Drosophila melanogaster: one gene and its partners. The protein of the gene in region 2 purifies or fractionates together with the protein of the main gene of each other region. This does not show direct contact. Each region holds a gene or a part of one and is shown on either strand. Other genes may lie near its edges.

Region 1 (10,935 bases), on a different chromosome or scaffold from region 2:
CGAACTCAATCTGGTGGCGTATCTTCCTGTTCTGCTTCTTTCGCTTCTTCTTCTTTTTGTTACGCTCCGCCTTGCTCTGCTTGCCGGTCTTTTGGCTGGCACTCCCGTTCACCTGGTTATCCGCATCCTCCTCGCTGTCCTCGCCCACATCCGCTTCGTCGCCGTCCTGGGTAGCACCCCCACTGCCACCCTGCGAATCGGCGTCCACCGTGAACTCGGCTGCCCTTTGATCCTTCAAAGCCAGAACGTCCTCCAAGGCCTTGGGCAGGACCAGTTCTCCGGGCGTTTTTTCGGCATCAACAGCATCTTCGGAGGCATCGCCGTCGCCATTGGCATTACCATTGCCGTTCTCATTTCCATTGGCCGCCGCACTTTCGTGCTGCTGCTGGTCGAAGCGAATGGACATGAGCGGCGTGGGTTGGCCGGGCTGGAAGGATTGGCATTCAATAGATGTCTTGCCGATTGGGTTTCGCAGCAAACTCACCTCGTTGTTCAACTGGTCCGCCATAAATTAAATTAATCTTTAAAAACCCAAACCGAGCCGAAATTTTTTTATAAACCACAATTCTAGTGATGCGCGACAAGATATTTTTGTACCACCGAGACATATCGATATATTCGATATGAAAATGCGAGACCCTAAATCAAGCTGGCAACGCAAAGGACAGGGCGATCTTAGTACGAAAAGCGTGGTTTTTGCCGACAGCTGATTTAAGGAGGTAAATATTAAAATATTTCATAGATTACCAGTTTAACAATGCTAATTTGTCCATTTCAGTACGATATTTAACAAGCAGTATCTGCTAAAATCAAAACAGTTCAACACCCTACCTTCTAAGCATGTTCAAATTTAATTTTGATGTGAAGGCGGAATCCTCGGAAGATCCAGAGGCCGTTAAAAATGATATTTTTAGCAAGCAGGAAAATTCAGAAGAACGTGAGTCGGGTATCACAAAGGATATAGATTGGTACAATTCGGAGAAAGTACAACCACTGGATAACCTAATTTCGGCAATGGATTTCTATGAGCTTAACGCCAAGGAAATGGAGGTGGGAAAGATGACGATAAAACATCTTGTGGCCGGGTTTCTGCTGGAGGATTTAAAGGAGCAATCCCACTTGGTAAACCTGGATCTCAGGAAGTCTGAGGAAAATCATTCAGATCTGATTTCCGGTGTCTACGAGGGCGGTGCTAAAATATGGGAATGCACTGAAGATCTTCTACTATATCTATCCGAAAAGTACGAGGACTCATTCTGGAAGGAGAAAAGAGTCCTAGATTTGGGATGTGGCTGCGGATTGCTGGGTATATATGCTATGAAACACGGCGCACGGGTGGATTTTCAGGACTACGTAAGCAAACAATAAGTCTTGAAATAGTTTGGTTGCAATCATATATTTTCAGAACAAAGATGTGCTGGAATACATAACATATCCAAATATCCTGCTAAATTTGGACGACTCTTTATCTGAAGATGAAAAGCTGAAATTTTTAGACAACAGTACAACCTTATATTCTGGAGATTGGTCTCATTTTGCTGAACTATCAAGGGATGTGGCGAAATACGATCTAATACTTACCTCTGAGACTATATACAATATTGCAAATCAGCAAAAGCTCTTGGATACCTTTGCTGGTCGCTTAAAATCCGATGGAGTCATTTTGGTTGCCGCAAAATCTCATTATTTTGGAGTTGGTGGCGGCCTGGAACAGTTTTCAGAGAACATTAGGCTGGGAAATGTTTTCCAAAGTGAGAGTGTTTGGCAGGCAGACGAAAACTTAAAAAGAGGAATCTTGCAATTGAAATTTAAATAAAATATATTTTGGAATTATTTATAACACAATTCTTAAACTTTGTAATAATGATAAGAGATCTAAGTTCAAAACATAGCGGTAGCATAAAACAAGTTGGCAGCCCACTTTACACGGGGCACCCTGTAAGGGAGGGACGTTCGTCAGCTGTGTTGTTGTAGTTGTCGTTATTCCGGAGAAATTGTAAGCAAATTCGTTGTACTCCAATAAAACAATTAAAATGGACCCACCCGGATCTGATAATTACTTTTGAAACATTTCTCCACTCGGCCAGTAGGGCGTGCACTAATCTAATCTAAACTGTTTCCGTACACGCTGCTCGGAACTCATTAAAAAACGTTCGCCGCGCCATTTCCTGTCCAAATCGATGTTCTTGATGACAGCCGGCACCTCCAATTTTCTTTCTGCAGCCTGGAGATCAGAGGCTGAGGAGTCCAAGAGTAAGGAGAACGGGAGTCTCTGCTGCTGCGAGTACGTGGCTGAGGACAGTCGAGAGCGATCCCACATCCTAGGATGCTGTTGTAACTGCGTGGACTTCGACTTAGTTTGCACAAGGTAGGATACATAAATGAAAGGCCGTCTACAATTAAAATTAAATTTACCACAGACTTGTCACCTGCCGAGCCATTGATCGAAGGAACATCGACGGCATGCTCATCGCCTTCCAGGATAGACTGCGCTTGCCATGGCGCGGAGGAGCCAAGCGAATCTCGCCCGCAGCCGTTGCTCCCGCCTTCATTGTCCCCCTCATGCTGGGATTGGCCACTCTGAACTCAAAGACCGCCATAGTGCTGATGCTCACGCTGGTGGGCTTCACCATCTGGGGCATGGAGCTGGCTAAGCGGACCGCCACGCGGACAAACTTCTTTTTGAGCTGGCTGGTCTTCTCGGTGTTCTACATGATCATCATATTTGAGTTTCAGGTTCCTCTGCTGGAGCTGGCTCCGGAGGAGAACTACGCGTTAATGTTCTTCTCCTGTGCCGCTTTGTACTGCCTCTATTCCGCCAAGGCACTGTCGCCCTTGAATCTTGTTTCTGCTCAATACGGAACCACGCCCAAGGATGAGCTGCCTGGGATCGCCGAGGCTTCGAGTGGCGAGGAGCAGGCAGAGGCCCAGACCACACTCCAGATGGAGAGTGTGCTGAGTTTGGATGATGACGAGGTGGGGGATATGGACACTGCTGAGCGATCTGGCTTGATGCACGGTCAGCCCAATATCTGCGAGATCTGCCGGAAGGTTACTCCAAGGCGGGCATACCACTGTCCCGTCTGCGGAACCTGCGTGAAGAGGCGCGATCATCACAGCTACTGGCTAAACTGCTGCATTGGCGAGCGGAACTACGTGTGGTACATTGTTGGACTGGCCCTGTCGGAGATCGCTCTGCTGCTCGGCGCAAACTTGACCCTCACTTCCATTTGCCATCCGTTTATGGTGGTGCGACCGCTTGGTTATCCAGTTCTTTTGCCCGACGACTGCAGTGAGGTGTTCGAAGGCTTCGAGTGAGTAGATACTTTGTTTCTATTTCCAATTAACGTTTCTTATGCACACTCTGTTTCTAGCCTCGGAATCTCCTTTGTGGTGGCTTGCTACGCTCTGCTCATTTCTTCCTACATAGCCTTTATACTCGCTAGACAGGCTTACTTGTGGTGGAAGGGATCCACCTTGCACGAATACAAGCGCACCTCCAACGCCGCAGGACGCAACAGAATCTGGAGCAACTGGCGAGCCATCTTAAAGTGACTACTCACACACCAAAAAGCAAAAAGCACAAGCATGTCGCTTAGATACTAAAGTATTTCAAATCTTAACGCTGTTCTCGGTAGTCGTACTTAGTCGTACCGCTTTGAAGTCTTTATTGCAATTTAAAATTGATTTAAAATAAATATAATTAAGTAACTCAAAACGCACAACGAACAAGAGTAATAATGTTCTATCTAGTAGCTACCACAAGCTGTCCTCTCTCGGTTTGTAGTCAGGCAAGAGCTCCCATATTTTCATGCGCCACCGCTGGCGTCGCTCCTCCGTTTCCTTCTCGATCTTCAGGATTTGCGGCAAGCGTCGCCAGCAGTCCAGGACCTTCCATTTCAGGTGCCTATTAAATTGGTTCAATTGAAAATGATACATAATACAGTGAATTCTATTTTACAGGGACCTACCACTCATGGTGCGAGATGGCCTGCCGAGTCTTGCTGTCTTCAATCATCCGGCAGTGCGTGGAATACTTGTGCCACCGCGCAAACCAGTGTTCCATGGAGCGCAGTGCATGCCAATCGATCGCCACTAGCATCTTGCTCTTTTCATTCTGCACATACAAAATCCACGCATACAGAGCGCGCCGCTTGAGGATGTTGTGCCAACAGATCTCCGCCTTGATGATCTTCTCGCGCTGTCTGTATGTCGAATAGCTGTGCCACGAACTGAAGGAGTTCTTTGTGATCAACTGCCATTGGAATATGGAAGGATGTTAGTGAGGAAAAGCTACACCCATATGAAAGCTTACCCGGCAACGGAATTCCTCGCTCTTAACAAGATTCTCACGTTTCCGCTCCAGCAGTCGTTTGAAGCCTTCCATGCCCGTCCGTTTTAAAAGTTTGCGACTGAACTCCACGGCCTTCCGCTGGTTCTCAATAAAACGTTGACGCTCGCGCTCCTTTAGCACCTTTGCCATTTTCTCCTGGCGACGCTTCTCTTTAAGGACCTCCATTCTGAGCCGTTTGGCTTCCTCGTCCTCCTGGCGCTGTTTACAAGTTCAGGTAGATTAAAGCTTTAAATGAATGTAGTAACAAACCTTAGCCTCCTCTAGAGCTAGCTTGGCTGCCTCCCTTTCGGCTTCTGCCTGAGCCCTCCGCTGACGAGCCTGCTCATGACGCATGCTCCGCTCTGTGGCCCGCTCCTGCATGTGCTGCAGAAACCGTGGCTGGAGCAGGGCTTTGCCCTGCAGCCGGTCCATCTCCTCGTCATCCGCATCGCGCAGGTTGCCGATCAGCTGCAAGCACTTCGCCTTGGCTTTCGCCTTAGGATCCCCGCACCGGATGACCGTTTTGAGTTCCTGTTTCAGATCCTCGCGGGCCTCCTTGGCCTCGTCACTGAGCTTAGACAGCTTAAGCTGCATAATAAGTCGCTCTTGGCGCTCCAGCTTGATGCGCTGTAAGTCAATGATGTCCTGCTGCACTTTGAGTCTGGAAGAAAGAAAACAGTATTAGAAACATTTGTCATCTGTGTCTAGCTGAGACCTACTTGTTCTTAAACTGCTTGGCCATTTTGACGGCCTCCTCGCGTTTCTCCAGCGATTTTTGTGTGGTCTTGCTAGTCTCGGCCACAGTTTCTGTGCGCTGACGCCTCTTTTCCTGTCGCACCTTGTCCAGAAATGCGTTGATCTTCTGCACCCGGGTGTCTCGCGCCTGACACGACTGCCCTTGCTCTCTCTCAATTTTTTCCATCGTTGTGAAGTGTATCCACTTGAGAAAGTACTTGCGCATCACTACCAACTGGGTGTTTGCCCTGGCCTGAAACAGCTGCTCGATGATCTTCTGCTTCTCATGTGTGGGCTCCACATCCGACTCATCTTCACTAGAGCTGGACGGCTGTTTGAGCTCGGGTTCCTTGGGTTTGACGACTACTTTCGGCAGTTCTATGCGGCGGATGAGCAGCGGTTCCTGTTCAGGCTCAGCTTCCGAATCTCCAACTGGATGTGTTGTGAGTGTTGGACTCTTCTTTGGGGGCAATTGAAATTGCACAAGCTTTGGCGGAACGGGCAACTCCTTGTCAAGCTCTTCATTCTCCTTCTCAGCTGCTTCCAATTGCAGTTCATATAGCGCTTCCTCGGCCAAATCGGATATTACAGAGTCTATGCCATCGCTGGTGTTTGAGCAGGTGGAGGATTCTCTTTTTAGTGAGGAAGGTTCACCTTCTGGTTGCTGCGCCTGCTTGTTCTCCTGCAGCAGGTCCTCCTCGTGGCGCACGGTGCGGACATGGAGCATTTGGCGCTCGGCAGCCGCCCGCATGGGACGAAAGAACTCCTCGGTGGAAGTGAGAGGACTTGGAGTGCGGCACCGTAGAAGCTTCGCCTTGCTCTCATCCGCCTGGACTTGCTTGGTGAAGTTACGATACTCAAGGGCATCAAATGAAATCACTTGCTCCTCTATAAACGCGGGTATCTCTACCACCTGCGCTTCCTGCTCCGTCCACTCACAATCCATGTCCGCCTCCGCCTCCTTCTCTGGTTCTGCCCTCAGTTGCTGGATCAGACTCTTGGTTGCCTCCGACTTGGTCTCGGAGCACATCTGTGCCATCTGACTCAGAGCCTGGACGGGAGTGTTATAGAAGTTATCTATGTGCTGGGCTGCCTGTGCCAGACTCTTCACCAACGGTCCATTGTTCAGCTTAAAATCCGGCTTGGTTGGCGGCACGCGGTGGGACTTGGTCCGCTGGAACTGCCTGGACAACTGCTGGCGAAACTTCTGTAGTTGATTATCAATGAAACGCTTCTCCACCTCAAGATTGTGCGCTTTGGTGGCTTCCAGGGAGTTGCTTGGGTCATGGGCTATGGTGGCCAAGGGAAGTTTGTGTGGTATCTTCTGAAACTATTTGAATTTCTTATTAATCATTATAATCCCTTATATTTACCATTTTATGCCGCATGTCCATTATCAGACCAGGATTCAGCTGTTTAGAATCTTCTCCTTCAATCAGAAGCCTCTCCTGTCGCCTACCAACGTAGTCCGTCTCGATTAGGCGACGCACTGCATCCGTCTTTAGTCCCAAAGGGTTCGCCTGCAGGTGGCGCTTGCGTATGCGGTCCCAGCGAGTCTCCTTGCTCGGCTTCTCACGTCGCTTAGGATGCGACATCTTTATAAAACAATTCTTTCACACTGTGATAGTTAAATTACGTCTACTCAATTTAAAAATGATTTGTGAACTTGGGAAAATTTCGTAAACAAGTTGAACATATTGTCCTGACAACGAAAACTGCCGGCCGGGGTGACTTTCCCTATCAACCATTATTATTATTAGGATAGAATCTATTGGGCAGATATTATTTTTTATACCGCCATTTGAAAAAAAAACCTTTATCCCCTAATAACAAAGACTGTCGATTGCATTCAAAGCACAGCTTGATCCAGTTTAATCGTTATAAAGTTTCTATAAATGCCATAAATATTAGATAAGTCGATAAGTAACAAAAATTTTGTGGACTTTGCAAGCTTAGTTTAGCAGTATATTTCGTAGTAAATTATGTGAACTTTAGGCTTAACCGGCGGCAGGGTCCTTCTTGGTTTTCTCCTTTTTGCCTTTCTGCTTCTCGGCGGCGGCCAACTCCAGATCAATGGGAGCGGGCTTGACGAACGGAATCTCATCCTGGAACTTCGCCGGCATGTACTTCTTCAATGGCTCCGGCACCTTGATGCCCGTCTCTGTCTGATGGGTCTCCAGGATGGCGCAGATGACGCGAGTGGCTGCGCACATCGTGGCGTTCAGCATGTGCACATAGTCTACGGCGGCGTTCATCTTCTTAGTCTGGCCGAAACGGACGAGCAGACGACGGGCCTGGTAGTCCAAGCAGTTAGAGCACGAGACAAGTTCCCTGTAAGCGCCGCTGCCGCCGAACCAGGCCTCGAGATCCAGCTTCTTGGAGGCAGCATGGTTGAGGGCACCGGAAACGATGTTAACAACGCGATATGGAATGCCCAGCGACTGGCAGAACTGCTCCGCATTCCCGATCATCTCGTCCATCATCTCCCACGACTTGTTGTCGTGTGGGGAGGTCAGTACGAACTGCTCCACCTTCTCGAACTGGTGGACGCGGAAAATGCCGCGAGTGTCGCGTCCGTGCGAGCCCACTTCCTGTCGGAAGCAGGTGGACAGACCAGCATACTTAATGGGCAGCGAAGACTCCGGTAGCCATTCATCGCGATGGTAGGCGGCGATAGGCTGCTCTGAGGTGGCGATCAGGTACTTCTCATCGATGCCCACCTCCTCCGCCTTCTCGCTGCCCTTGCCCACCACCTTGTAGAGCTCCTCGTCGAACTGTGACAGCTGGGCCACCTCCTGCATTACCTCCTTTCGCATGAAGAAGGGCGTGTACAGGGGAACGTAGTCACGGGCGTACAGCAGGTGCAGAGCGTGCTGGATAAGAGCCTGCTCCAAAAAGACTGCGGCTCCGGTAAGAAAGTAACCACGTCCGCCGGACACCACGGCTCCTTTCTCCGCGTTCATGCCGTCGATCATCACGATGAGGTCCACATGCGAGTACTTGCCGCGCTTTTCGCAGTCGCCAAAGGTGCGCTCCACGCGGTTCTCGTCCTCGTCGTTAGACACAGGCACGGACTCGTGCAGGTGGTTGCCCACCTCCCGCAGTGAGGTGTTCCTCGTCTGCTCGGCAAGCTCTAGCGACTTCTGGTTCTCGGTCATTGCGTCGTCGATGAGAACGCGTAGCTGCTTGATCTGGTTGACGGTCAACGGCTGCAGTGTCTCGGCTACAATCTCTGTGAGGTCCTTGGTCACGTCTGCGGGCAGGTCCTCGCTCATGGCACCAACCGGCTCCTTCTTCTTCATCTTCTCGCCGATCACCTTGCTGCAGACGTTCTTGACCTTGTTCAGGTTGTCGGCACGGTGGCGGCACTGACGCCACTCCGTATCCTTGGCGATCACAGTCTCCACCAGCGCCACATCCTTGAAGCGCTTCTTTTGATTTTCGCGCACGAGGTCCGGGTTGCCCCCCTTGTCGCTGCGAAACAGATCCAGATCCAGCACCATTTTAGTTACCCTTTATTTCAGTTTCAGTCGCGTATTAGCTTCGATTCTCTCGCGTTTCGTCGGCGTTTTCACAACGTGGCTAGGCTTTTCGTCAGCTGGGCAGTGCTGGAAAGCGATGGTGGTAAGTGCATATTTTGGCTGAGATTATGACGAAGTTCATTCTTGTGACTCATCAAATTTCTAAGTGCTTCTGAAAAGTTAACCCAAGAATTTTATAATGTTTTTTTATATTTTCTGTTTAGTTATTTCCCATAAGAAATACCCTTTATAACCAGAATAACATAACTGACAATATAAATATCGCTTAAAACGTACACTTTATTCGTCATCATTTGAAACATACATGTCAGCAATTCACAACACTACTTGCTTTTAGCAGCTGTTCAAAATAGTCCAATAGGAGGAGAACAGCAGCGAATTCGCAACAGATTCCGACTTCAACAATGAGCTTTATTGACCAGGAAGTCACGGAGTTCCGAGCAAAATGTGAGAAGCAGGTGCCGCACACGAAGATCATTATTTGCTCCAACTCGCTGATCCGGGTTGACATATACCCGGAGCGGCCGAATCGCTCGATGACTATGTGCCTTCGATTTCCAGAAAACTACCCGCAGAGCACCCAAATTCTGGTGGAGCTGAAGAGTCGTGTGTACTCCGAAATGCTTCTGACGGAGCTTACCCGGCTGATCGACGACTATGCCAGGGATTTCATCGGGAAGCCACAGGCATTGCAAGTGCTGGCCTTCGCCCAACAGTATTTAACTGATAATCCGCTGTGCGTGTGCTTGGAGGAGATCAAGCAGCTGAGAGCGGACATCAAGACTGGAGGCACGGAGAGCCAGTTGAAGCTGAAGCAGAAGAACAAAAGCGTGGAGCTGGTCGCCAAGGGCGGACGCTACACCTACAGAGTAATCGCTGTTGTTCCGGACAGCTATCCCATGCAGAGTGTGGAGCTGCGCGGTCAAGATTCCAATCTCCCAGCCGTGCTCGTGCGTTACCTAAACGGCCAGTCAAAGGAAATAGCCCGGCAGTGCGTGGAGCCACCGATCCGTATGAGCAAGGAGGCTCTAGCCAATTTTCGGCCTGTTAGGAGTCTGCAACGCTCGCTGAAATTCTGCCTGGAAGCCACCCGGGACTTTCACACCGAGCGTTGTCCCATATGTGATAGTACCGTGCTACCCGAATACCCAGAGGACATAGAAACGGATGACAATGCCGACTTCTTCATCGAGCGCGTCTACTGTGGTCATCTCTTTCACCAAGGCTGCCTTAAGAAATACCTATCGGAGCCTCCGTTTCCAAAGGGTGGCAAATTATGTCCCGCCGCGCGTCGCCATCCTCGTTCCGATGCCCAGACCTATATGGGCAGGTCACAGGGAGGAGGAGCCACCGTTTCCAAAACTCCGGAGGACACTGTGTGCGGCATCAAGCTGGCTCACGATCGGTGGGTGGTCAGCGTAAAGACCGCAGAGGCGCGCTGGGCCCAGAAACAGGCTCGCCAAAGAGAACTGGAGGAGGTGGTCGACTTTCTGCAATAACAGATGATCGACTCAAGAACAGCTTACTGTGTATGGTTATGTATTTTGTGATTTCTATTCGAATACGCTTATATTGCTAAAGATTAAATAAATAAAGTGAAGATGAAGTGCGACTAGGTTGGTTTGGGCAAGTGTTTCGTCTATCCTGTTAACGCAATTGAGCACACTGCGGTGTTACAGTCTTTTTTAAAGATTTAAAAATAAAATAATAAATTAACTAGTCTAAGGAAAATTTTCAATCAATTTTCGGTTTAGGTTGTGAGAATCAGGCAAATGCTCTTATCAAATTCTGCGAAAGTGTTCGAGGAAACTTGTTTGTTAGATGTACGCCTAAGTTTTAGTTACAGAATTTTAGATTGCAACTATAACCAGGCTTGGTAGTTCGGTCTAGGATGAAGAAATTTGCTGGAAGCCCTTTGGTGCAGGCTTATTTGGCTAAACTTCAGAAATCCGTTACTATTTCGTCGTCCTCATACCGCTTGATGGGATCTCCCTTGATTAGTGACGAAATAAGGCTGTAAAGACAAGAATCAGATAACTTCGTAGAGATGAACATGCAGTTTTCAACGTCTAACTCACCAGTACAACCCCACGAAGAACATAACGAAGTAGTAGCCCAGATAAATCATACAATTTCTCAGATGGACCTTTAGCAATCCCCGACTGTGTATGTCCACCGGATCGTAGACACCCAGACTATCGCGCCGCTGGCGATGCAGCTCGTAGAAAAGCCAAATCACCATAGGCAGGTTAAGGAGAAACATCACCCAGTGGCCTCCGAGTAACAGAAGCACGCAGAGCAGGGCGTGGGATCCGAACTTGGGTA
Region 2 (10,722 bases):
GATAGAGGCGACGGGGAGCGGGCACAGGACGCGCCTGCTCCATGGTGGAGCCTAGAGGATAGAGATAGAAAATCGTGTTAAACTAATCATAACAAACTGATTATAACCGAAGGCATGCATTTTTACGTGATACATAATACCTGAGTAGATATGAGAATTTGACATTTTTAATAGAAAATGATCTAGGTAAAGCGAGAAAATCCTCTCTATCCCTAAGGAACATAGGTAACCGGGTTATCCTAACATCTTTGTGACTTATTGTCCTTAAAATATACCTGATTAGGATAGCCGAAGGATTAAAGCCCTGTGAAGTTATTTAACCCGTAGATTATTTAATCTTACAGGTATCCCCTTGGAATTTCAGTAGTGACCTGCTTGAGTTTCACAGGTAACGTCTTGTGCTATATAAATCTTGAACTCCGCTTGAAACCTCACACTTCTCAACAGTTAACTGAACATTCGACATGTCCATTAGCCTCTCTGAATTCTACCAATCCTCACTGACTTTCTGGAGCCATCTGATCCATATACTGCTGCAGTTCATCCAGACCAACTGCTGGAATCACATCACACAGAAGGAGCAGCAGCAAGAGGAACTCAACGAACCCTGTGCCATCTCAAAAACCATGGACGCCTTCGTGGAGGAGCAGCAAAAGCGGGTGCAACGAAAATCCCACGAGTACGCCAAAGTGGAGCTACTGCATCGCCTGCTTGTCCAGCAGCAACTGCAGGAACTGGAGCAGCGCCGACTCATCCGATTGGCTCTGGCCAGGAGGCGACTGGACTACTCCAATTAGACTAGCCGTGCAATTAGCTCATAATTTATTTAGATTTATAATTTACGCTTAGATTATGCCCAAGTATTCGCAATTTTTAAGTGGCCACATAATTAAGTGCCAACGAGGCAAGTGCAAATAAAAAATGCAGAGAGTGCGGAAATTAAAGACACGTGTTTGCATTTCTTCTCGAACGACCAACAAGGTTCGCCTCTTCGATCATCATTAGTTTTTCCCCCACTCACAGATGCGCTTTCACTTTCCGCTTTCAAAGTCAGCGCTTTTCAGTCGATTATTTATTCAGTTGGATTGAAACAGAGATTTGAATAAACAATACGCAAACTGCCCGAGTGCAATTATCAGCACATTTTCAACGGCGAGCTTAGAAAGTCTGATAGAAAACTAAAAAACAAAGATAAGTTTGAGTTTGAAATTCAATAAACAAAGTTTGCAGTTCTGTGGAATTTTGTAGACCATATGCCCAAAGGATGTAATATGACCATTAATAAGTTGCTTTTGGGTTTACTGAAAACTAAGCAAAACGCTGTTAGTACTTAAGTAACCACACACATATCTATTACTTGAGGGAATGGGTATGCAATAGTCGAGCCATAGGACGGCACTGTGCTCTCTGGTTTTTGCGTTTATATGATATAGTAGATAAAAGCTTAATACACCCAACTTACTCCCAAGCATCTGGCATTTGAGAGTTGTTTACATCACTGCTCCATTGATGATCTTAATTTCTTGGGCCCTCCCATTGCTACGCTTTCCTTCCATTGCAATTCCCTGAACTTTTCAACTCTCGACAGCGTCTAAAGTGGACCAGACCCCACCAGATCGGATGGGATCGGATTGGATCGTTTGGCATGGGATTGCAGAGAGTGGAACATCTGGGCATGCCGGGAATTGCTGTCGTTGTCGCTTAAGTGGTCGCCCCACTTCAAATGGGAGTTCTCCTCCACTCCAGCAATAGTTCACTTCCCTCGGCCTCGATGATTTTGTTTATAAGCGTTTAAAGTTTAAACGAACCCATTGTTGCGGTTATTGTCGCCGGGCACTTCTCTTTTTTTTTTTTTTTTGCATATTGCGCCGGATAAGTTGGATGAATGAACTTGATGGATGACTCACATTAGAGCGGACCCTATATTATTTCCCGGGAATATCAGCTAGACCTACTACTACGCCGCCTGTCGTGTCTCCCCCTCGATGATTAATCGAATTTCAAATTTTACGCTCTCACACTACGGGGTATAATATATATATACTCGAATCGACTCGTATAGTAAAGCGAGTGCTGACCAAATGAATCAATTGTTTTGCCACACACAATCACGAATACGAATCCACATTCAATTACCCAATTCTGTGACCATGTGGACTATATACGTTTTATCTGCGTTTCATAGACGTAAGGCATTCTGGTTTTAATTTTTATATGAAATTTTGAACTTCTTATTGCACTCATTTCTCATAAGATTTAGGTATTCAGATTAAAACGATCTTGACTCTCTGCATGTAACAAAATATACAAGACATATATTAACTATTTGCTCTTCAATTATTGTCACCATAGATTTGACCGAAATGTGTCACACTTTCGTGTGGTGAGATACTCGTGAATTGTACCCAGTGCATATAGATAGTATAGTATAAAACACTCTCTATATACACGTTCTGTCCAGATATCGTTCGTATTTATAGTGGCTGGGCAAAAAGAGCGATAACAATGACGAGCCACCCAAGAGTGATAATTATATAGAGCTGAGTGCCAGTTTACATTATGAATGACCGGCCATAGATGGTGGTGTGGAAATCCTGGGGATTATATGGTAAAATTGATAGGCAAATCAAAACTCTGGATCCATCAAGGGCAGCAATAAGCAATATCCATATATGATAAATATAAAACTTAAAATCCAGATACTATTTTCTCAAAGGCATTATTTCAGATGAAGAGGTTTGAGTTTTGATAACGATAAATCCATTGAATACTTGGAGTGCCATTTAAGCCAACTTTGATTTATGTGTATATACATATGTATGTATATGTATGTATCATATTTCGCTGCTGTGATCCATTATTTTGCGCAATTATACGATCTAATAGGGCTTACTTCCGTTGCGATAATATTTGCCCAATCCAAAAATATATATATTCAAACACATTATATACATATATCCGTGTGCAATATGAAAACGCTTGGACTTAATTCATATTTATATGTTTGCATGCAAATAAAGTGATGCATTCATGCGCATTTGCAATTGGATAGTCATTTATTTATTCGCATGAATCACTTGCGTTCTCCCCTTGCGTTTTTATGCTTTTCTTCTTTCGTTGCATTGTTATTTTGCTAATTACAGCAGTTTCCATGGACCAAGTGCAATGGCTATATGATAGTGCACTGCGAAAAAAAAAACGTGCATCTAGTTTGCATGTCAACGACTGTGTACTATTCTCAGAGTGTTTGATAATTAAATTGATAAGAGTTTTGATAGTACTTGGGATAATATTGCAATAACTGAAGTTGCAAGTACAGAAACAGATATAGAGAATGATATTTTCCCTGTGTATATATACGTATTCTCTGATTCTGATTCACAGACTGTGTTTGAGCTTTGTTTTTGTTTATGTTTATAAGCGCGATAAGAGCGGCGACAGTAAAAATAAGCTGAGTTAACTGTTCGTCCCTCATTCCGGGATCGTATTCATGGTGCAAAATGTACAAAAACTGAAACTGAACTGGAGGAAATGGGCACAGATAGTTCCACACTCGACTTAACGCTTCCATGGCCCCAATTATATAAGACCAGGGAGTGCGAAGAATCGGAGAGCCAGAGGGGGGCAGTGTTGGGTTAAGCGATCTCGCGACTTGCGACTCGATTTCCAAGTTGTTTGACAGCATTTTTTGTCGTATGTAAGTTGCCATCGATTTGTGATTTGATTTATACACAGAGAAACGAGAAGACAGGTAGAAAAAGAAGAATCCACAAAGCGATCGTTAGAGGGTAAAGGAAATCCCAGACACTTGATTACCTGGACTATCGCGAGGAGAATACTAAGCGTGCAGCTATGCCGTTCATCTGTAACTCTTTTTGCCAACGAAATACGTTTAAATAAGAATCTTTAGGTGTACCTACTGAAGGGTTACAGATTTATGGTCATTTACCATATTGTTTTGACAAACCTTTAGTTCACTTGATGTGTTCCAATTGTAAACAAGAAAAAGCTATTAAAATAAGTAAGAGATGATAGATTACAGCTCTTCCCATTTAATATAAATATAATGCACATAGAGTGAGCAGCTAACATTATCTTTTAGTAATCATAATGTTTACGGATCATAGATACATTAGGCTCTAAAAATCCAAATATTTGTCAACTCACGAGTTTGTTGTATTTCACGTACCCCAACGAACTTATGCATAGTGTACTTTATTTATTACCATAACTAAAAGATCTTGAGAGGCTTTTATTTATTTAGCCCAATTTTCGGACTTATCGCCTGGATTGATCGATTAATTTGGTTATTGATTCTTCTGCGAAAGTCAAAGGGAAAAGCGCATCCAATCGGAGAATGTGTGTCGGCTGTCTTAATATGTTTATAATTGACTTAATTGCCAAACAATTAAGAACAGCAACAAAATGTGTCAAACGATGGAAAGAGAGAGAGAGAGAGGGAAGAGCGGTGGAGAGATGGAGCGAAGAAGCGCAACAGGTGACACCTGTCCCGCTCGCACAGTCTATCGCTAAATGGGAGCGATAAGCAGTTAGAAGCGAAATATATGTGTGTCAAAAATTATCATACATACAAATGTGTACACAGCCATAGTGGTTTTATAAATTTAGGAAAAAATATCATTATATTGCATAAAACGCATAGGTGGCAAAAACACTAAATTAAAATATAATACAAATATATAAACATATACTAACGAAATGTTTTTAAACATTTCAAAGTATAATGATTAAAATTCACAATGTTATCAATATTGCCGTATTTCGCATTATTTATATTTGATTTATTGTAGATATTACTATTATTTGGCACATAGCTGTCACTAAAAATTATCAGCCAACTAACACAGACACACAGCCCGTATGTAAACACGGATTGATTAGAACGCATTGAAGAGAGAAGAGACCATTGAAAATCGAAGCCCGCAGAAAAAGAGATCGCAAAGAAACTGCGGCTTTCAAATAAAAATAATAAAAATCGCTTTTACCTTTCGCTTTTTCCTTGTTAAAAATTTCGTATGCAGTTTCTGCGTGGTCAACTTAACTTCGTTTTATATTCACAACACACACAAACACAACCAGAGCACAACAATAAAAAACGAAAACAAAGAGTGTGAGAGAGAGGGAGAGAGCGGTGGGCGAAAAGCAAAGTCTCTGCTAAATTGCTAAGCTGATTTCCCACACATATCGATATTGCACTGATATTTTACTGCCGCAACTAGTTGACACATTTCCACAAACATTTCGGCCCAGTTTACTAATATTTGTTTATTTATTTATTATTCTTGCGGAATGAATCACTTGCGGAATGTTTCACACACACATACGCGCGCGTACGCATTGTTTGCATCTGTCTCTCTCTCTCGCGCGATCGATGTCTTTTTTTGTTGTTGTCTCCAAAAGGGAACAACAACTATTCGCTAAACAGAAGTTGACAATTCGCGGATGGAAAAGTCATGACCAGAACAAGATTCTTTGTTTTTGTCCCCAATGCCCGCTTTCCGAACCGGATTTTCCGATCCGAACGATCTGCGACCGATCGAAGAATACAAATGCATAATGTAATATAACGGGGCGCGCCTAGTGTGACCGTTGGCGGAAAGACAGCGAATGCCGGCAAAACTAGTTACTAAACTAGTAGCTAGGATACAAGTTATTAATTTTAGTTATATGTAATAATGTAAATTTTAATACTAACGTTCTTTCCATATAACTGAAACATTTTATATCAATAGTTAACTGAATATTATCTCGGCATGAATGCCAGATTTAAGTTTTTTGCCACAGCAACTGGAATTTACCGGATTTTTAAATTTTAAAGCAGCGCCCACGGTAAAATCAGTAAAGCACTTTAACTATAGTGTAATCATTTAAGTAAATTTGTACGTATAAGGAATTGGAATTGGAAGGAATTTGTTTTCTATTTAAAAAACGATATATACCGCACTGCCAGCTATCGATAGCAAATAATCGGCTGGTCGTGATTAAATGTAAAAATTACTTCCACGCTCTGGTAACACTGCATTGTATACCAGAAAAAAATGGTATTAGCATTAGCAGAGAAAAAATCAAATAAATAAAGAAAAAATCAATTAAAAGTGCGCCATTCCAAAGGATTATCCCAAAAGACGCGATCATCCATATCAGATGCTTAAGAATCGGCCGGAAAATCCGACATCGAACTATTAGGCTAGTGAAAAAGTGCAAAATAAACATTCGCCCAGTGGAGGGGGCCATACAGAAAACACTCGAGAGTCTTTCGAAAATACACATATTATACCACACGGATCGTTTTGGATCTACAATGGCCACCAGCGAGATCTCGAGCTCCAATGAGCGGCACTACTACGCCAAACTGGAGGCCATCAAGGACATCAGGGACAAGACGCTGTCGCTGGAGAAGCTCAAAGTGCGGATCATCAAGGAGGTGAAGCTGAGCGACGACGAGGAGAAGTGCCTGGAGGAGTACCGCAAGGAGATGGAGCACCTGCTCGAGGAGAAGATGTCGCACGTGGAAGAGCTGCGCCAGATCCACGCGGACATCAACGACATGGAGAACATCATCAAGCAGACGAAGGAGAACCAGACCCGCTCCTTCGACATGGCCAACCGGGTGTACGAGGAGTACCTGGCCCTGAAGTACCAGATTGATCACATGCGCCGCGACTATCTCGGACTAAGCCCGCTGCGAGATCTGCACGAGGAGGAGGGCAGTCCCATTTCGAAGGATCGCTTCCAGACCAACTTCCTTAAGGTGGCCGCCCAGTCGGCGGCAGCAGCAGCTGCTGCAGCTGCGGCGGCGGCCTCGGTTAATCAGAACTCGTCGTTGGCCCGTCCGCATGCCCGGCATCCTCTGATGCCGGAGGCCACGGTCACCGCGCTGCCTTCTGGCGGCGGACAGGGCGGCGTTGGTGGTGGCGGCGCTGCAGGCGGTGGCGGAGGATCTGTGGGCGGCGGAGGCGGTGGTGGCGGCAATCCTGGACACGCCTTCATGCCACCCGCACCGCCGGGAGCAGGCAGTGCTGCTGCCGCCGCCGCTGCTGCTGCAGTGCGTCTGGGCAAGGGTGACTTCTCAGCACCACCGCCACCGCCGCCGCCCAGCAATCGACTGCAGCAATCGCCTTCGATCGGCATCGGCCACCATCCCTCGTTCCGCTCCGACTTCAATGTGAATCTCCGCCAGCAGCCGCCGCCCATGAAGTCCTGTCTGTCCTGCCACCAGCAGATCCACCGGAACGCGCCCATCTGTCCGCTCTGCAAGGCCAAGTCGCGCTCCCGCAATCCGAAGAAGCCCAAGAAGAAGAACAACTAAGTGGCCACCGCTCCAGACCAGCAACTACACTCATCTTAAGTCCGGAGCTGGTTCCGGAAACTCAGCGCACTAAATCGAATGCGTTTTTTTTTTTTTGCCTCATCTATTTATTATTAATCCCAATGAAAAGTATTACAACGACGCAAGGCGGGTGTGCTCATGATTATCGGAGAAGATTTAAAAGAATGTCAAATACTTGCATTAATATTTTATACATTACTAGTGTATTTGAAAATCGATGAAGAAATTATTCATGACACGCCGGCCGCTAACAAATTCTCATAACAATTTTAGTTGGTAAACTCAATGAATTTGATTTTTATTTTAACTATAATCATAGGCTAAGTATTTTTTAAAAGCTCAAATAACGTGTCAAATTATCGAGAACAAAAATTTTGTTTATACATGTAAGCCATGCTAAATATGCAACTATGTTATATTTAAGCAGCAAAAAAAAAACACAAATATCAATAAAAATATTTCATTTTTAAATGGGTTCTTTTGGTTATAGATTAAATTATTTGGATTATTGGATTTGATTTTATATGTGTGTATTTTAATACAATAACTATAACTGATGTTTATATACTTGCATTATATTTTATACATTTTACATTTGCCATACATCGTTTGTGAACTAAAGAGTATTGTAGATATACAACGTACTAAAATTTAGATCCATGGTATTTTGGCCTGTCCCTGCACTTGGTCACACCTAGCTTAAGCCGAGCAAAAAGTTCGGATTTTTATTCAATTTTTTAATCCAGCCCGCAAAACAACAAATTCGTATTGTTTCAAATTGTTTCAATTGCAATTTTAGTGAAACATAGCAACAACCAGTTCAAATTGAACGCATCAGTGCACTTGGTTTTCTTTTTTTTTTTTGTTTTTGTGGATCAGTTTGTCGTTTTTGTTCTTGTTGTCGCTGCGTGCGTAGAATTTGTGAAAAGAGAAAGTTCTGCGCCGCGTCTTTCTCCGCCTCTCTTTCTCCAATTCTTCGCACAGTCGTGGCCAAGAAGTTGCGCCTGCGCAGCGACAATTTCACAAGAAATCGAGGTCGATCGCAAGTGGGTAAGTATCTTTCACGGAAAGTGGCCCAAAAAGTGATGTTTAAAGACTGGAACTAAAATAATAACAATAAATTAATTATATATCCTCGAAACTCTTTGCTGTATGTAGTCTTCATAAGAGTTTTCTTTATAGGCCACCGTTCTTTATTCGTTGATTTAAAATACGTAAAGCTTATCTTCAATCAGTTAAATGTGCTACATCAAATCGTGTTACTTTACTTAAAATATTCATATATATTTTAATATATTGTTATGTGTTGTATATTAGATATGCTTGTTATGTTATTGCTCAGCGTGCCACTATTTCAACATATATTACGCTAATATATTAAGCTAATTAATTATTTCATAATTGCAATTTTTTGAATAATCGTTAATGTTGTACTACCAATATACATATGTTTATTATGTTATGTTGTTTTTTAAAAGTTGTCCTCTTTCCATAATATTGTTAGTAAAACTACTTCCGAATTATTCCGTTTATCATAACAATTTTGCCCCCTTCCCTTGCAGTAATCCGATTGGAACACCATGGGCACCACGCAGACAGTATCTCCAGTGGCTGGAAAGGATAAGACCAACGATACCTCCAAAGGATCTCCCTCGAAGGCTAAGTCCAATGGCCACGCGCAAGGCAAGACCAAAAGCAAGGAGATGAACGCTCTGCCGCCCCAGAAATCGGTGGTCATTGCCTATCTATGCTGGCTTTTCGGCGGAATCTTCGGCCTGCATCATCTGTACTTGCACCGTGACCGCCACGCCTTCATTTGGTGGTGCACCCTGGGTGGCTACATGGGCATTGGCTGGATGGGCGAGCTCTTCCTGATACCCGAATATGTACGGGATGCCAACGAGGATCCCAAGTTCGTCAAGATGTTCGTGGCCAAGCTGCAGGCGTATCCGAAACCGCCGTACTCCTCGAAGAGATTCGTGGGCCAGGTGATGATCGGCCATCTGTTCGGCCAGGTGTGCTCCATGGCCATTCCGGAGACCCTGGTCGGTGGCTGGGATCTGAGCTTCCTACACTGGACGATTCCGCTGTTTGTTTCGCTGGGCGTTTGGCTGGTGGGCAACATTGGCCGGGAGCAGGGTGTATGGTGGCACTGCCTGGTGGCCGCCTATCTGGCGTATCCGGCCAGGTATTTGATATATGACGAGACCTACTCCCTGCTGCTCACTGGTCTCGTGGCGGCACTGACCTTCGACGGCTTGTCCAAGCAGTGGCGCAGGACTCCGCCGCGCAGGGGAAGCCCCGGTGAAAGGACCTTTAAGCTAACCACCGCCGTGATCATCTACTGCGCCTTCTGGGGCAGCTTCCTGTATTTCAACGGCACCATTTCGGACGAGGACGGCGGCGAGGTGCCCATTCACGAGGCCATCCATAACTTCTTGGCCTCCGCCTGGTGGACAGATCTGAAGCAAGCCCTGCTGGACACCTATAACTATGCGCAGCATCACGGCTGGTACGAGACCTGGAAGGAGGTGTTCGAAAGCATGGATGTGGATGGCGAACGAAATTCGTACAAGGTCTTGGGCGTAAGTGCCACCGCTTCGCAGGCAGAGATCACCGCTGCGTACAGGAAGCTCTCCAAGGAGTACCATCCCGACAAGGTCAAGGACGAGGGCTTGCGGGCCCAGGCCCACCAGCGCTTTATCGAAATCCAGCAGGCGTACAGTGTGCTCAGCAAGATCAAGTCCAACCGGCGGCGCAAGAACAAACAGTACCAGGAGGAGGAGGCCATCGTCCTTTGAGCGGCGCTTTCCTCCATCTAGTCTAAGTATTTATAACGACTAGGAAGTAAGATTCTTTAAATGCGATTACTTACTTAAAGCAATAGTACCTAAATGCTGCTATAGCACATATTGCGAATTCTCTAAATGTTATTCATATTAATTACCTAATGGTGTTTTTAGCTGTATCTGTTTCCACATGTATTTATTACCATAAATCTGCGTTGTTTATTGTCAAGACTGTGTTTAAAAATATTAAAGCACCCCAAAATTCATTCAAAACACCAAATGCTAATCGAAAATTTCCTTATACTGGGTATCTTATTAGTCGGTTAAATCGACTGAACTGTTCGTCGACGCGAGTAGAAAAAATAGAAAATTAGCTGCGCTTACGTTTCGTCCGTTAAGAAAATACCTTTAACTAATTACCGCGTGACCGGCACAACATTACCAAATCACGTTTCCCTTTCTCAGTGAAAGAATTCATTTTAATTAGATTTATATTCATTTATTTATTTTATATATTTTACATAATATAATGAACTACTTACAAGACTAAGCAAAAAAAAAAAAAGAAAAATATTTATTGTA
Region 3 (11,273 bases), on a different chromosome or scaffold from region 2:
TTTCCTTCCAGAGATTTGCTACCAGTTCACATTTAAAGTACCATCTAATGAGCCATGAGAAACAATCAAAACACTCGTGCAGCGTCTGCCACAAAAGTTTCAAGCAACCAATTGTTCTACAGCGCCACATGCTTACCCACAACCAGGAGAAGCATTTGTGCCCAATCTGCCAGAAGGTTTTCCGCCGCAAGAGCTCTCTTGCCAGCCACCTGGCGATCCACAGCGATCTCGGCCTGCAATTTAAATGCGAGCTCTGCTCTAAGCATTTCCAGAACAAGGCCAATTTGAACCAGCATCTGCGGAAACACGACAAGAACAATATTCGGCACATGTGTAAAGTGTGCCAGAAGTCCTTTCTGCGACAAACCACGCTTCGGCTGCACATGAAGCGCCACTCAAATCGCGAACGTCAGTCCTGTTCCCTGTGCGGCAAAAGCTACAATGATCCGGATGCTCTGGGCCGACATTTAAGACAACACAAGACTGCCGAACGCTACCGCTGTATCCAATGTGACATCACTATCAACCGAAAGGACAACATGCTGCGACATCTGCGATCCATGCACCCTGGTTGTGCGTTTGCCAGTACTGTTGAAATGGTTACACCGAGGTCCAGTGCTCAGGAGGCCACGACGGCGGAAGAAAGACCATCTCAGACTGTAAGATACAACAGTGTGATCCAGAGTGTGGGCAACGTTGAGCCAGTGATGTTGCTGCAATCTACGCCACTGCCATCTCAACTCCCTGAACTGCAGATGGAGAAAGGGAAAGCTGTCCCAGAGCATCTGCCTCTGCCAGATGTAATGCCAGAGGAGAATGTCCAGCTGTATCGCAAGATCATCTTGGATCTGGACAACGAGGAATACTCTAGCGAACCTAGCCCCGATGCCCAAGAACCAGCCATGCAACATCACCAGCCGCGTGTCCCGGGGCAAGGTAGCTCCAAATTTAGCGAGATGCACTGGCGCAAGAATTTCAAATATTGGTACCAAAAAGAAGAAAACACAAAGTGACGATATGATCTCTAATGAGTTGGCCCTTTTTCAAAGGGGTCCTCTAATTTATTAGAGATCAGTCAGGTGCTGCGAACCGAAGCGAACCGCAGCAATCTTGTTGGCCGCTAGCCATATTTCCGCGTGCCGGCGTCACTGCCAAGTTCACCGGCCATCGGAAGCAGCAAGACCGCTTAATTTGCAACTAACAGTATTCAATATGATGGACGAGCAATCGGAACTCGAGACACTGCGTGAAATTTATTACCTAACTGATGATGCGTCGTGCAACTGGCGCAAGTTGCTTGTCCTGGGCGACTGCCTGGACCAACAGCTCAAGCGCAAGCTGCTCTGGATGTGGCCGACATCGGTGGACTTGGACTACTTTAATCAGCTGCTAGCCATGCACGACATCCAGCGAGTTTTGAGCATCGGCTGCGGCAGTGGGCTTTTGGAATGGCTTATGACAGTGTCTGGAGGTCGGAAAGTCCCCATGTTTGGCTTGGAGGTCGATCGCAACTGGTGGCAGAGCAAGTACTCCGTTCGAAGTTTTATACCGCTTAACTATTTAGAGGATGCCAGCCAACTGGATACGGATTTATTGACCAAATGCTGCAGTGACGTTCATCCGTGTGCCTTGCTCTTCTGCTACTTCAACAATCGAGGAGCTTTTCTGGACTATCTAAATGTGTATCAAGGAAAGTGGCTTATATTGATTGGACCATTGCCCGCCCTGGGAATCCACACAGATCCCAATCCCGCCCAGCCCCAACTGCCCATCGACCAGTGGATCCTGCGAGAACGCCTTAACTGGACTGACCACAACATTGTGGCATTCTACGAAAAGATAGCCTAGTCTAGTCTGTAGTATCTCTATAATTGTAGTAATAAACCATTGCCTTACATCCTAATTAGTTCCTGTTCACTTCTATGTGAAACTTGCAGGCGGGTATGCTTTGCACTTCGGCCGTCACGGTGCTGTTAATGCCTAGATTGCTGAGAGCTCCTCGCACCAGCCCGCACGTGAAGGCCACGAACTTGGGCGCGTGCTCCAGCTGCTTGGTGCCCGGCGAGATGCGAGTCAGAAAGCGGAAAGCCTTGTCCTGCACAACGTACATTCCGTGGTTGTTCGTCCTCAGGTTGTCCACTTGCTTCTTGTATATAAGCATCCAGAAGTCGGTGCATATAAACTTCATAGTCTCCAACTCGTCCTTAAAACGCGAAACTTCACGGGTGAGCCGCTCAATCAGGCGGTAGCCGGTGGTGAAGCCTATATACTCCAAAGTGGCCAGGTCGTGCTCCTAATAGGCGGAACCAAATCAAAATCGGTTGTATGACTGATTTTTTTTTGCGTCCCTCGTGTTCCTACCTTATTGCTATCCAGACAATAATTGACTATCTCTGCATGGAGGCAATCGAAAAGGATTTCTTCAGACATTTTCGAGGATTTAATTTTTCTTTGTGAGTTCAACAAATTTTTCCTCGGATTTGTTTTGATCTAGATTTAAACAGCTGTTGCAAGCGTTAACGGGCGAATGTCTTGTTTGCTTTTAGTGGTTTATTGTTATTACTATTATTTATACTTTAATATCAAGAGTATGTATAATTATTTTAATATGAATACTCTAAAATGAGCAGATTTGATAGATCTATTTAGCGTAATTTCAAATCATTTTATAACCATATATTTTTCGATGCATATATTTAGCTAAGCTGCACACATTTCTATCGCTGATCTGGCATCACTATTCAGTGAGGGGGTGTTTGGACAAAAACACAACAAAAAATGTATACAAAACAATTCCGATTAAAATTCGCAGAATAAGTGAATTAAACTTGAACAATTGACAATTAGTAAATAATCCAGTATGCTAGACCTCGTTCACAAAGCCACGCTGCATAGCATGGTCTGTCAGGCAATCCTAGTGTTAATCTGTTTGCTATGCTACGGATGCGGTGGCCTCAGTGGAGCGAAGTTTGTCTTCGATGATACGGTGGCCATCGTCAAGAACCGGGATGTCAACTCACTGCCCACCAACTGGACGGCGATCTTCACGCACGACTTCTGGGGTGCTTCCTTGCTCAGTTCCGATTCCCACAAATCATTTCGGCCACTGACCACCCTGATGTTCCATTGCGAGTATGCCCTTCTGGGGCTAAGTGCCGCCCACATGAAGTTCCTAAACCTCCTGCTACACTGCGTCAACACGCTGCTCATGTGGCGATTGATTCGCTCTCTCTATGTTCCGGAGGTCAGCACGGCAAGATGGGCCATCCTCTCCGCTGCTCTATTTGCCGCCCATCCAATTCACACAGAGGCGGTTTCTGGTGTGGTTGGAAGGGCCGAGCTCATGTTCGGCATGATTCACTTGTTGTGTCTTCTGCTGACCGTGGCCAATACCGGAAGACTTGGTCCACAGACTGGCGGTCTAATCATGCTGCTCACCGCTGTGGGAATGCTGTTCAAGGAGTCCGCTGTGACCATCCCCATGTCGTGTGTACTATTGGATTACTTTCAAAACGGCTACTATCATCTGCGATTCAAGGATCAGTGGAGTCTTTTGCGCACCCGGATCAGCTACTTGTTCTACTTGCTGGGTACCTTGGGTCTGCTGACGGCTCGCCTTTGGTGGCAGGACTTTGAGACGCCTACCTTCAAGGAAGTTGACAACCCCGTTGCGCACAATGAGCACGTGCTGACCCGTGGGCTCTCCCAGCAGTATCTGCTGGTCATGAACATCTGGCTGATGCTGTGCCCCCACTGGCTATGCTACGACTGGGCATTGGGTTGCGTCAAGTTGGTGACCAACATCTGGGATCTGAGACTGCAGGGCGTCATCGGATTCTACTCCATCGTATTGGTGGCTCTGATGAACTTCCGACGGCTGCCCGGAATGATGTTAGCTCTGGGTTTAATGATCGTCCCGTTCCTGCCCGCGTCGGGAATCATTTGCGTAGGATTCGTGATTGCCGAACGGACGCTCTATGTACCCTCCATTGGCTTTTGCCTGCTGTCCATCTATGGATTCTTATATTGGTATGACAGCAGTACGGAAAACACCCACTGGCGCACTGCTCTACGGATTCTTTTAATGCTGCTCTTTTCGGTTATGATGGTACGGACTCGGCAGCGAGCTACTGACTGGCTTAACGAGGAGCAGTTGTTCAAGTCCGCGCTACAGGTGTGTCCTGACAATGCCAAGGTACACTATAACATAGCCCGACTGGCCACTGATATGGGAAACAATACGAAAGCCTTTCAGCACTACCACAGGGCCATTGAATTGTATCCGAACTATGAGTCAGCTCTTATGAACCTCGGCAACCTGTATCGGGAGCACGGTCAACTATCCACCGCCGAGGAATACATTCGATTGGCTTTGCAGGCGTATCCCGCATTTCCAGCGGCTTGGATGAATCTCGGCATTGTGCAGTCGGCTCAGGGAAAGTACGACAAGGCTCTGGCCAGCTATGAGAAGGCCCTGAAGTACAGAGCCAATTTCGCCGTCTGCTACTACAACATGGGCAATCTGTATCTGGAGCAGAAACGTTACGCCGAAGCGCTTCATCATTGGCAGCATGCTGTGGCACTAAATCCCCGCCAGCCAAAAGCCTGGGCTAACATTCTGACAATGCTGGACAACAAGGGGTTGCAGGATGACGCCTTGCGCATCTCTAATCAGGCTCTCCAACATCTACCCAACGATGTCAGTATCCTTTTCATTCGAGCAAACGTGCTTGGCAAATTAAAACATTATACGGAGGCGGAGGCGATCTACAAGCGCGTTATTGAGCTGGAGCCCCACAACACATTGTACCACACGAATCTCGGAGTTCTCTATCATCGCTGGGACAAGACGCAGGAGGCTATAGAGGCTTATCGGACTGCAATAAGTATTAGTGCGGCTAGAGCAACGACAGCCCGGGAGAATCTCAGCAAGCTCTTAAAACGCCTGGAAAGGGAGGCGCAAGTCATGCAGAGATAAGCGTTTCAAGTCCCACCATCCAAATATGGATCCAACCAAAATCTTGGTTGTTTGCAAATAATAAGAGGTATGTACACTTCGCAAGCTGTAATAATCCCAAACGAAAGACGAGGTTGTGGGTTAAATTACTTATTCATAAAAGACATTAAAACTAGTTAGTCTAATTTAATTTTAATTCCGTGCAATATTGTATCTATATCATACATTCATATCCCATCAGCTAAAATCTCATGACACCCTAATTGTATTTAGTATAAGTTAGGATAGTTTATTCATTTACTCGAGGGTATATACAATTAATGTTAAAACTAAATAATGATCGAACAATTACAAGACGACTTACATAATTTAACTAAACTCTAGAACTAAGCGCTACATGAAATACTTCAAAGAATAGTGACAATTGTGGCACCATTGTAAAATAATTCAATTCCATTAAAGATTCATGATTTTAAAATAATAATACCGCAAATTACATAGGTTTATATATAACACATATAAACAGATCGGGCTGCTCGAACATGGAAATAGCTGAAAAACTTTGGCAGAATGCGAGACGACAGGTCGAACAAAAGAGAGATTAACGTGGACATCAGTAAATATTCAAGATACATGCATGCGTCTATGTACTATATGCGTAGGCGTAAAGGTACAACAAAGTCTTTGTGTTTGAGATACGGGTCTGTTGGGTTTTTCTGGGCGAGCAAGCAAGCAGCAGCGGCTGGCAACTAAATCAAATAATAATGAGCAAATAACACAGCTAGCACAGCAACAGGGTTATGTGGTGGTGGCGGCAACGATCTACAGCAGCACAAACTCTTCGCTTTCACTATCATCTTGGTCGTGCTCATCGCCGTGCTGTGGCGGCGCCAGTTGAGCGCCCAATTCCTGGGCCAGAGAAGCCACCTGTTTTATGAGCGGCTTGTACAGCGAATCGCTCATTTCGTCCCGCTCGTGATCCATGCAACGACCGCGGGAAAATGAGAACAATGGATAGTTCATCTCTGTTTGCTCGGTTTGATGGGATGACTGAGGCGTCGTATGATGGCTCCCGGCCGCCTTATCCACAGTTGCCCCTGAGGCGCAACGCATAGGATGCAAATACTGTTGAAATTAAGATATTTAATAGGACGTTGGAAAACGAAATGTTTGGCTTTTGCTTACCAACTGTACGCTCTCCATAAAATTGTCGAAATCACTTTTGGTGGCACAGTAAAAGCCGATACAACAACTAGGATCCATTTTGCTGGCCTTAAGCTTCCGCGGCGACTTGCAGTGAAACGAGTGCAGGGAGAAGTTCTCTTGGTTCACATCCACCATCTCCTGGCAATAGTGCGGATCCAAGTGGATGAGCCTGTCCTCCTGGAAGCCGACAAAGTACAGCGAATGCTTTGGCTTTCCACCAAGGATGCCCAGGCAGTGTTCTGTACTCAGCAGCAGCTTCAGACAATGGGCATACACAGGATTCAGTTTATCACTGCCCAGGCGCAAAGGTATCAGAACGATGAGGGACTTCCAGTGCTGTTGTTGCTCCGTTTTGGTAGTTTCCGCCTGCGGCCGCTTCGCTTGTTGCCAAGGCACATGGGGTTTTGGCGCCGGTTCCGGAATGCTGCATTGATCCTCAATATCTTGCAAGTAAACTAAAACAACACAAAGACGGTTATCAAATCACATACGTTATCAATTGAGCCCCTGAGTAATGAGCTTCGCGAACAAGGTTGCAGCAATTACTCATGAACATATCAATGTGTCATGGTAGTTATCTTATGAATCTTTGATTAAGGGATTCCTTTCTGCTTGAACTTACTCGTGCAATCTTTGGCTACATAGACACTAATATTGTCAAAGTCTGCATTTTCCTGAGCCGCGTGCTCTAAGGCGTGTCTGTGGTGAAGTTGAAGAGTTGTTTGATTTAATAAAGATTAAAAAAGCGATAAAGATCTGTACTCACTTAAGCAAATAGGAAACAGAGGCGGGACCGTACCAATCGCCAGGTTTTTTACCCAAATGCTCCCCCAGCCGCACCAGGGCGTGGATGGAGAAGGGACTGCTTTTTGAGGAACTGTCCCCGAACCACTTGACGATCTTCTTATGCATATTGTCCTCGTAAGTCGAGTGCAACTGGGACTCTGAATCATAGCGCCAGCCTGAAGCATAAAGGTTTATTGGTAATCAAACATATTTGTGCGGGTTCATTTAACTTACTTCGCCCTAGGAAGTGACAGATGAGTCCTTGAGCGAAGAGCATCTGACCACTCCTTAGCATACAGCCCCAACCGCAGTCCGAGGTGTAGTTGGAGCCATTCATTATTGGGAACTCTCGACGGTAGGTCATCCAAATCCTACTGTAAAAGTCACGACGAAAGCCTTCGATGCCCTCCTCCCAAGGCTGTTCGCCCACTTGGTTCTCCACCGCGTCCATTCCCAGTTCCTGGGGCACCACAATCTCATCGATCTGCTGCGGATTAAGGGCTGGATACAAGGAGGTTGATGTCGATGTGGCCTGAATGCTGTCGAACGCCGATGTGGCGTTATCGGGGGTGGTATCCGCCCCGCTGGGCAGCTCGGTGATGGAACTTTCCATGCTTACGGGCGGAGTAAAGCGTCGATGATAGCACCGTCCTAGCAGCCACACGGGCTGCTCCTTTGAGAAGCTGGTCTGCCTCATCTTGCCGCTCCAGCCATACTTCACATTGTGCCACATTGCGACGAGCTTGGACTCCATGCCCTTGGTGGGAGTACGGTTTGCCGACAGGTCACCGGGTTCCTCGTTGTGCTGCTCCACGTGACCGCAGCTCGGACCGCTGTTGCCGCCGCCGTAGAGCTGACTGAAGGCGTTCATGAAACGTGATGACGTCGATATTTTGCGCTGCGGAGTCGCTGTCGCAGCGTTTTCCGTCTTGAGGTTCAGATTGGCACCTGATGTGCTTACGGGGGAGGGGGAAGGGACGCGTGGAACGGCGAATACAGTGCGATGAATCGTCTGTATGGGGGCCGCCTGCTCCTCCTCGATGGCGCCGTCCTCCACCAGCGGCAAGGAGAGCGGATCCGCATCCTGGCCGCATATCCGGCTACCCTCTACAATGGTCCCCTCGCCGGCGGCTTCGAAGAGCATCAGTTTTTCGTCGGTCAACTTGGAAAGGAGGCCGTCATAGTTCATCTGGTTGGTGGCCGTGGACGAGGACATGAAAACAGAGGCGGAAGTGGTAGAAGAGCTATGACGCTTTGTCCGCAGCTTGCGGAACTTAAAGAACTGCGGCATTGTAATCTTGGTGCGAGCCCCTTGCTGGCCCTGGCTTAACTGACAACCGACCACCGATTGCGTGCTAATTACAAATGTTTACTCACCGTTTATTTGTTGACAAAATAAGATAAAGTAACTCCACGAAATTTGTTTTTCTTATTCGCGAGAAGTACAATTGCCAATTTCAGTGTTGCCAGACTGCAAATCTGCTCTATTATGAATATGTAGGTAATGTGTGTTCTTTTTTACGTTTATCTACTAATGAGTTCAAAATGAATAGTGAATTTTGTTATCAACAGGTTTGTGTTAAACTATTTTTAAACAATTTGTATCTTTATCTAAAATTCTTATACATATAATATTTGAATTAATAAATTAAAAGGCGCCTGGTATAGGTCTGCCCTTGGCATGTCCATTTAATAGTAATATTTTACGCGGAAAACGATTTCTGGAACACCCTTATTTACTTCCGGCATGTGTGCGGTCTGGCAGCTCCGCGACAAGAATGACCAGCTGTGCGGGTGCTAAAATTCTATTGCGCAACGCTGAATTTCTAAACACTCGCTTCGCCCCACACACAACATTACTGACGACAGCCGCTCAAAATGGTAAGTAATGCAAATTCCTGCAAATAGAAGCGCTTAGCTAATCGAAAACAATTCGATGTCGCCGTCCAGCAGGGCCCAATTCAAAGGTTGGTGTACACATTTGGTCATCGCACCTGTAGCCAATTGCCGATGATCGGCGGAGCAACGATATCCCAAACAAAACCAACAACAATGGCTCTCTCCGTTCGCCAATCCTCCTCCTCCGTGCTGGCCACGGAGTCCTCTAACAAGGGAATGATTATTCTGAACCGGCCCAAGGCGCTTAACGCCATCAACTTGGAGATGGTACGCAAGATCTACAAGCACCTGAAGAAGTGCGAGAAGTCCAAGTCGCTGGTGATCATCAAGGGCACAGGTGACAAGGCCTTCTGCGCCGGTGGAGATGTGCGCGCTCTGGTCGAGGCTGGCCCTACGGATGAGTCGAAGAGCTTCTTCCGGGAGGAGTACAGCACGAATGCCCTGATCGGAAACTATAAGATTCCCTACATCGCCATCATTGACGGTATTACCATGGGCGGTGGCGTGGGTCTGAGTGTGCATGGCAAGTACCGGGTGGCCAGCGATCGGACACTGTTCGCCATGCCCGAGACGGCGATTGGCCTCTTCCCGGATGTGGGTGGATCATACTTCCTGCCTCGACTGCAGGGAAAGCTGGGCCTCTATCTGGGTCTCACAGGATATCGACTGCGCGGAGCCGATGTCTATTACTCAGGCATTGCTACGCACTACTGCGAGAGCAGCAAGATCCCTGATCTGGAGACGGCTCTCCTTAACTGCCCGGATGCGGATGATGTGCCTGAGCTGCTGCAGAAGTACCATTCCCCGCCAGAAAAGCCCTTCTCGCTGCAGCCTGTCCTGGAGCAGATCAACAAGAACTTTTCAGCGGACTCGGTGGAGGGGATTCTAGAGAATCTGCAGAACGATGGCAGTGAATGGGCCAAGAAGACGCTTGAGGTGAGTGGGGCACAGTTTACTAAGTGATAAGAACACAATCGGATGTTAATTGGCTGGGCCAATCATCGCTTGACGCGCGCTTTTAGCGCCTAAATATTTGATCCGTTTCCAGCCAATTAGCAACGCTTTAGTTGCTGCACGACTTTTCTTAACTGAATAAGTTACACTAGCTCACAAACTCACACCCCACACCTTGTTGCATTTTTCTATTAGAGTTGAATTTTATTATTGAAATCAGACACATTGCTTTTTTCTTTGTTTTAGACGCTCTCGAAGATGTCTCCCACCTCGATGAAGGTTACGTTCCGTCAGTTGGAGCTCGGATCACAGCTGTCGCTGGCTCAGTGTCTTATTATGGAATATCGTCTGGCCGTGCGTCATCTGGAGCGAAGTGATTTCAAGGAGGGAGTGCGCGCCCTACTCATCGACAAGGATCAGAAGCCCCAGTGGCAGCCAACCAAGCTGGCCGATGTCACTGAGGAACATGTGCAGTGGTTTTTCCGCAAGCTACCGGACACCGAGGAACTCAAGCTGTAATGTAGCAAGCTTAGTTTTGTTTTTGTTTGAGCCTTGGCATCCAATCCTGTTTGTCTTCCGTTGAGCCGCTCATTCTTATATGCACACAACTTAATATCTTTGTATATATCATTGCAAGCTTGAGTTATGTTATGCATGGTTCCTTGCCTGCCGTTTTGCAATATTCTTTATATATCTTTAGCGTTCTGTGGCCACAGTTTGATGAGTTCTGTCGGCTAATTTTCCGCAATCTCTTCTCTGTTTCATTCCAACAGCGAATAACTTCGAGGAAGAATCCTATTCGCCGGTATTTACCAATAACGATTGTGAAATTCAATGCATTTAAATATATGATATACATATATGCCTATATATATTATGTACAATTCGTAGTCCTAATACAATCAATAATTGTGCCTAAAGAATCGTTAGAATTCGTTTACCAAGAATAAAAAGAAGTGTATACGTTTAATAACTGATCGTTGTTGGTGACTAAGCGCTGTTATCCTTTAGCTTGATACTGTCCTCCACCATGTTTGTCAGCTCGACTAGCTTATCGATCTGGGTGGCCTGAAAGTTTAGTTTGCACAGCTCCTGCCTCCAGGATGTGACATCCACTCGCAGTTGGACGCGAATCTTATCATCGTCAGACATTACAGCCGAGCTTCCAGTCGAAACAGTCGCGGCTCCGCCACTTTTTACATTTCGCAAGCGTCGCAATGACTCCTCGGTTTTCTGTACGGATGTGAGCACATCGCTCACCACATTGAAGTACCTATAGTGCGAATAAAAGTTCAGAGAAATTCGAACCCATCGTAAAATTATACTCACGCCTTGGTTATGTGACTAGCAACTTCCGCCAAGATTTGTTCCACCACCAGGGTGCCAAGCTGGGACTCGTTCTGCTGGGCAAATGCCTTCAGCGGTCGCAGCATTTGCTCCACATAGCTCGAACATCGTGTGGGAACCTCTC

The links.
Region 1: the proteins of CG13001 (region 2) and CG17260 purify together in Drosophila melanogaster (affinity purification with mass spectrometry, with the first as the bait; one large-scale study listed by BioGRID). This does not show direct contact.
Region 3: the proteins of CG13001 (region 2) and Hibch purify together in Drosophila melanogaster (affinity purification with mass spectrometry, with the first as the bait; one large-scale study listed by BioGRID). This does not show direct contact.

What each region holds. Positions count from the first base shown.
Region 1 is NT_033779.5:3,028,580-3,039,514, forward strand, and holds CG17260 (uncharacterized protein), read left to right. Parts: upstream 1-8,650; 5' UTR 8,651-8,692; exon of another isoform or gene 8,693-8,824; intron 8,825-8,831; exon of another isoform or gene 8,832-8,950; 5' UTR 8,951-9,014; coding exon 9,015-10,109; 3' UTR 10,110-10,214; downstream 10,215-10,935. Other genes in the region: Sf3b2 (splicing factor 3b subunit 2), read right to left, coding at 1-427, 485-508; CG17219 (uncharacterized protein), read left to right, coding at 841-1,353, 1,406-1,816; GABPI (beta4GalNAcTB pilot), read left to right, coding at 2,181-2,368, 2,421-3,314, 3,375-3,555; CG17258 (uncharacterized protein), read right to left, coding at 3,757-3,907, 3,972-4,255, 4,316-4,552, 4,604-4,994, 5,053-6,398, 6,442-6,663; SerRS (Seryl-tRNA synthetase), read right to left, coding at 7,066-8,571; cnir (cornichon related), read right to left, coding at 10,552-10,624, 10,689-10,935.
Region 2 is NC_004354.4:16,938,183-16,948,904, reverse strand, and holds CG13001 (uncharacterized protein), read left to right. Parts: upstream 1-6,033; 5' UTR 6,034-6,322; coding exon 6,323-7,330; 3' UTR 7,331-7,819; downstream 7,820-10,722. Other genes in the region: RhoGAP15B (Rho GTPase activating protein at 15B), read right to left, coding at 1-43; CG13000 (uncharacterized protein), read left to right, coding at 465-797; wus (wurst), read left to right, coding at 8,932-10,152.
Region 3 is NT_033777.3:15,348,491-15,359,763, forward strand, and holds Hibch (3-hydroxyisobutyryl-CoA hydrolase), read left to right. Parts: upstream 1-8,738; 5' UTR 8,739-8,827; coding exon 8,828-8,830; intron 8,831-8,899; coding exon 8,900-9,784; intron 9,785-9,990; exon of another isoform or gene 9,991-10,048; coding exon 10,049-10,321; 3' UTR 10,322-10,773; downstream 10,774-11,273. Other genes in the region: CG42726 (uncharacterized protein), read left to right, coding at 12-1,013; CG42727 (uncharacterized protein), read left to right, coding at 1,213-1,848; Trs33 (TRAPP subunit 33), read right to left, coding at 1,904-2,293, 2,362-2,430; Tmtc4 (transmembrane O-mannosyltransferase targeting cadherins 4), read left to right, coding at 2,861-4,978; Atg4b (Autophagy-related 4b), read right to left, coding at 5,780-6,082, 6,143-6,618, 6,786-6,862, 6,930-7,125, 7,184-8,138; Cog2 (component of oligomeric golgi complex 2), read right to left, coding at 10,793-11,075, 11,132-11,273.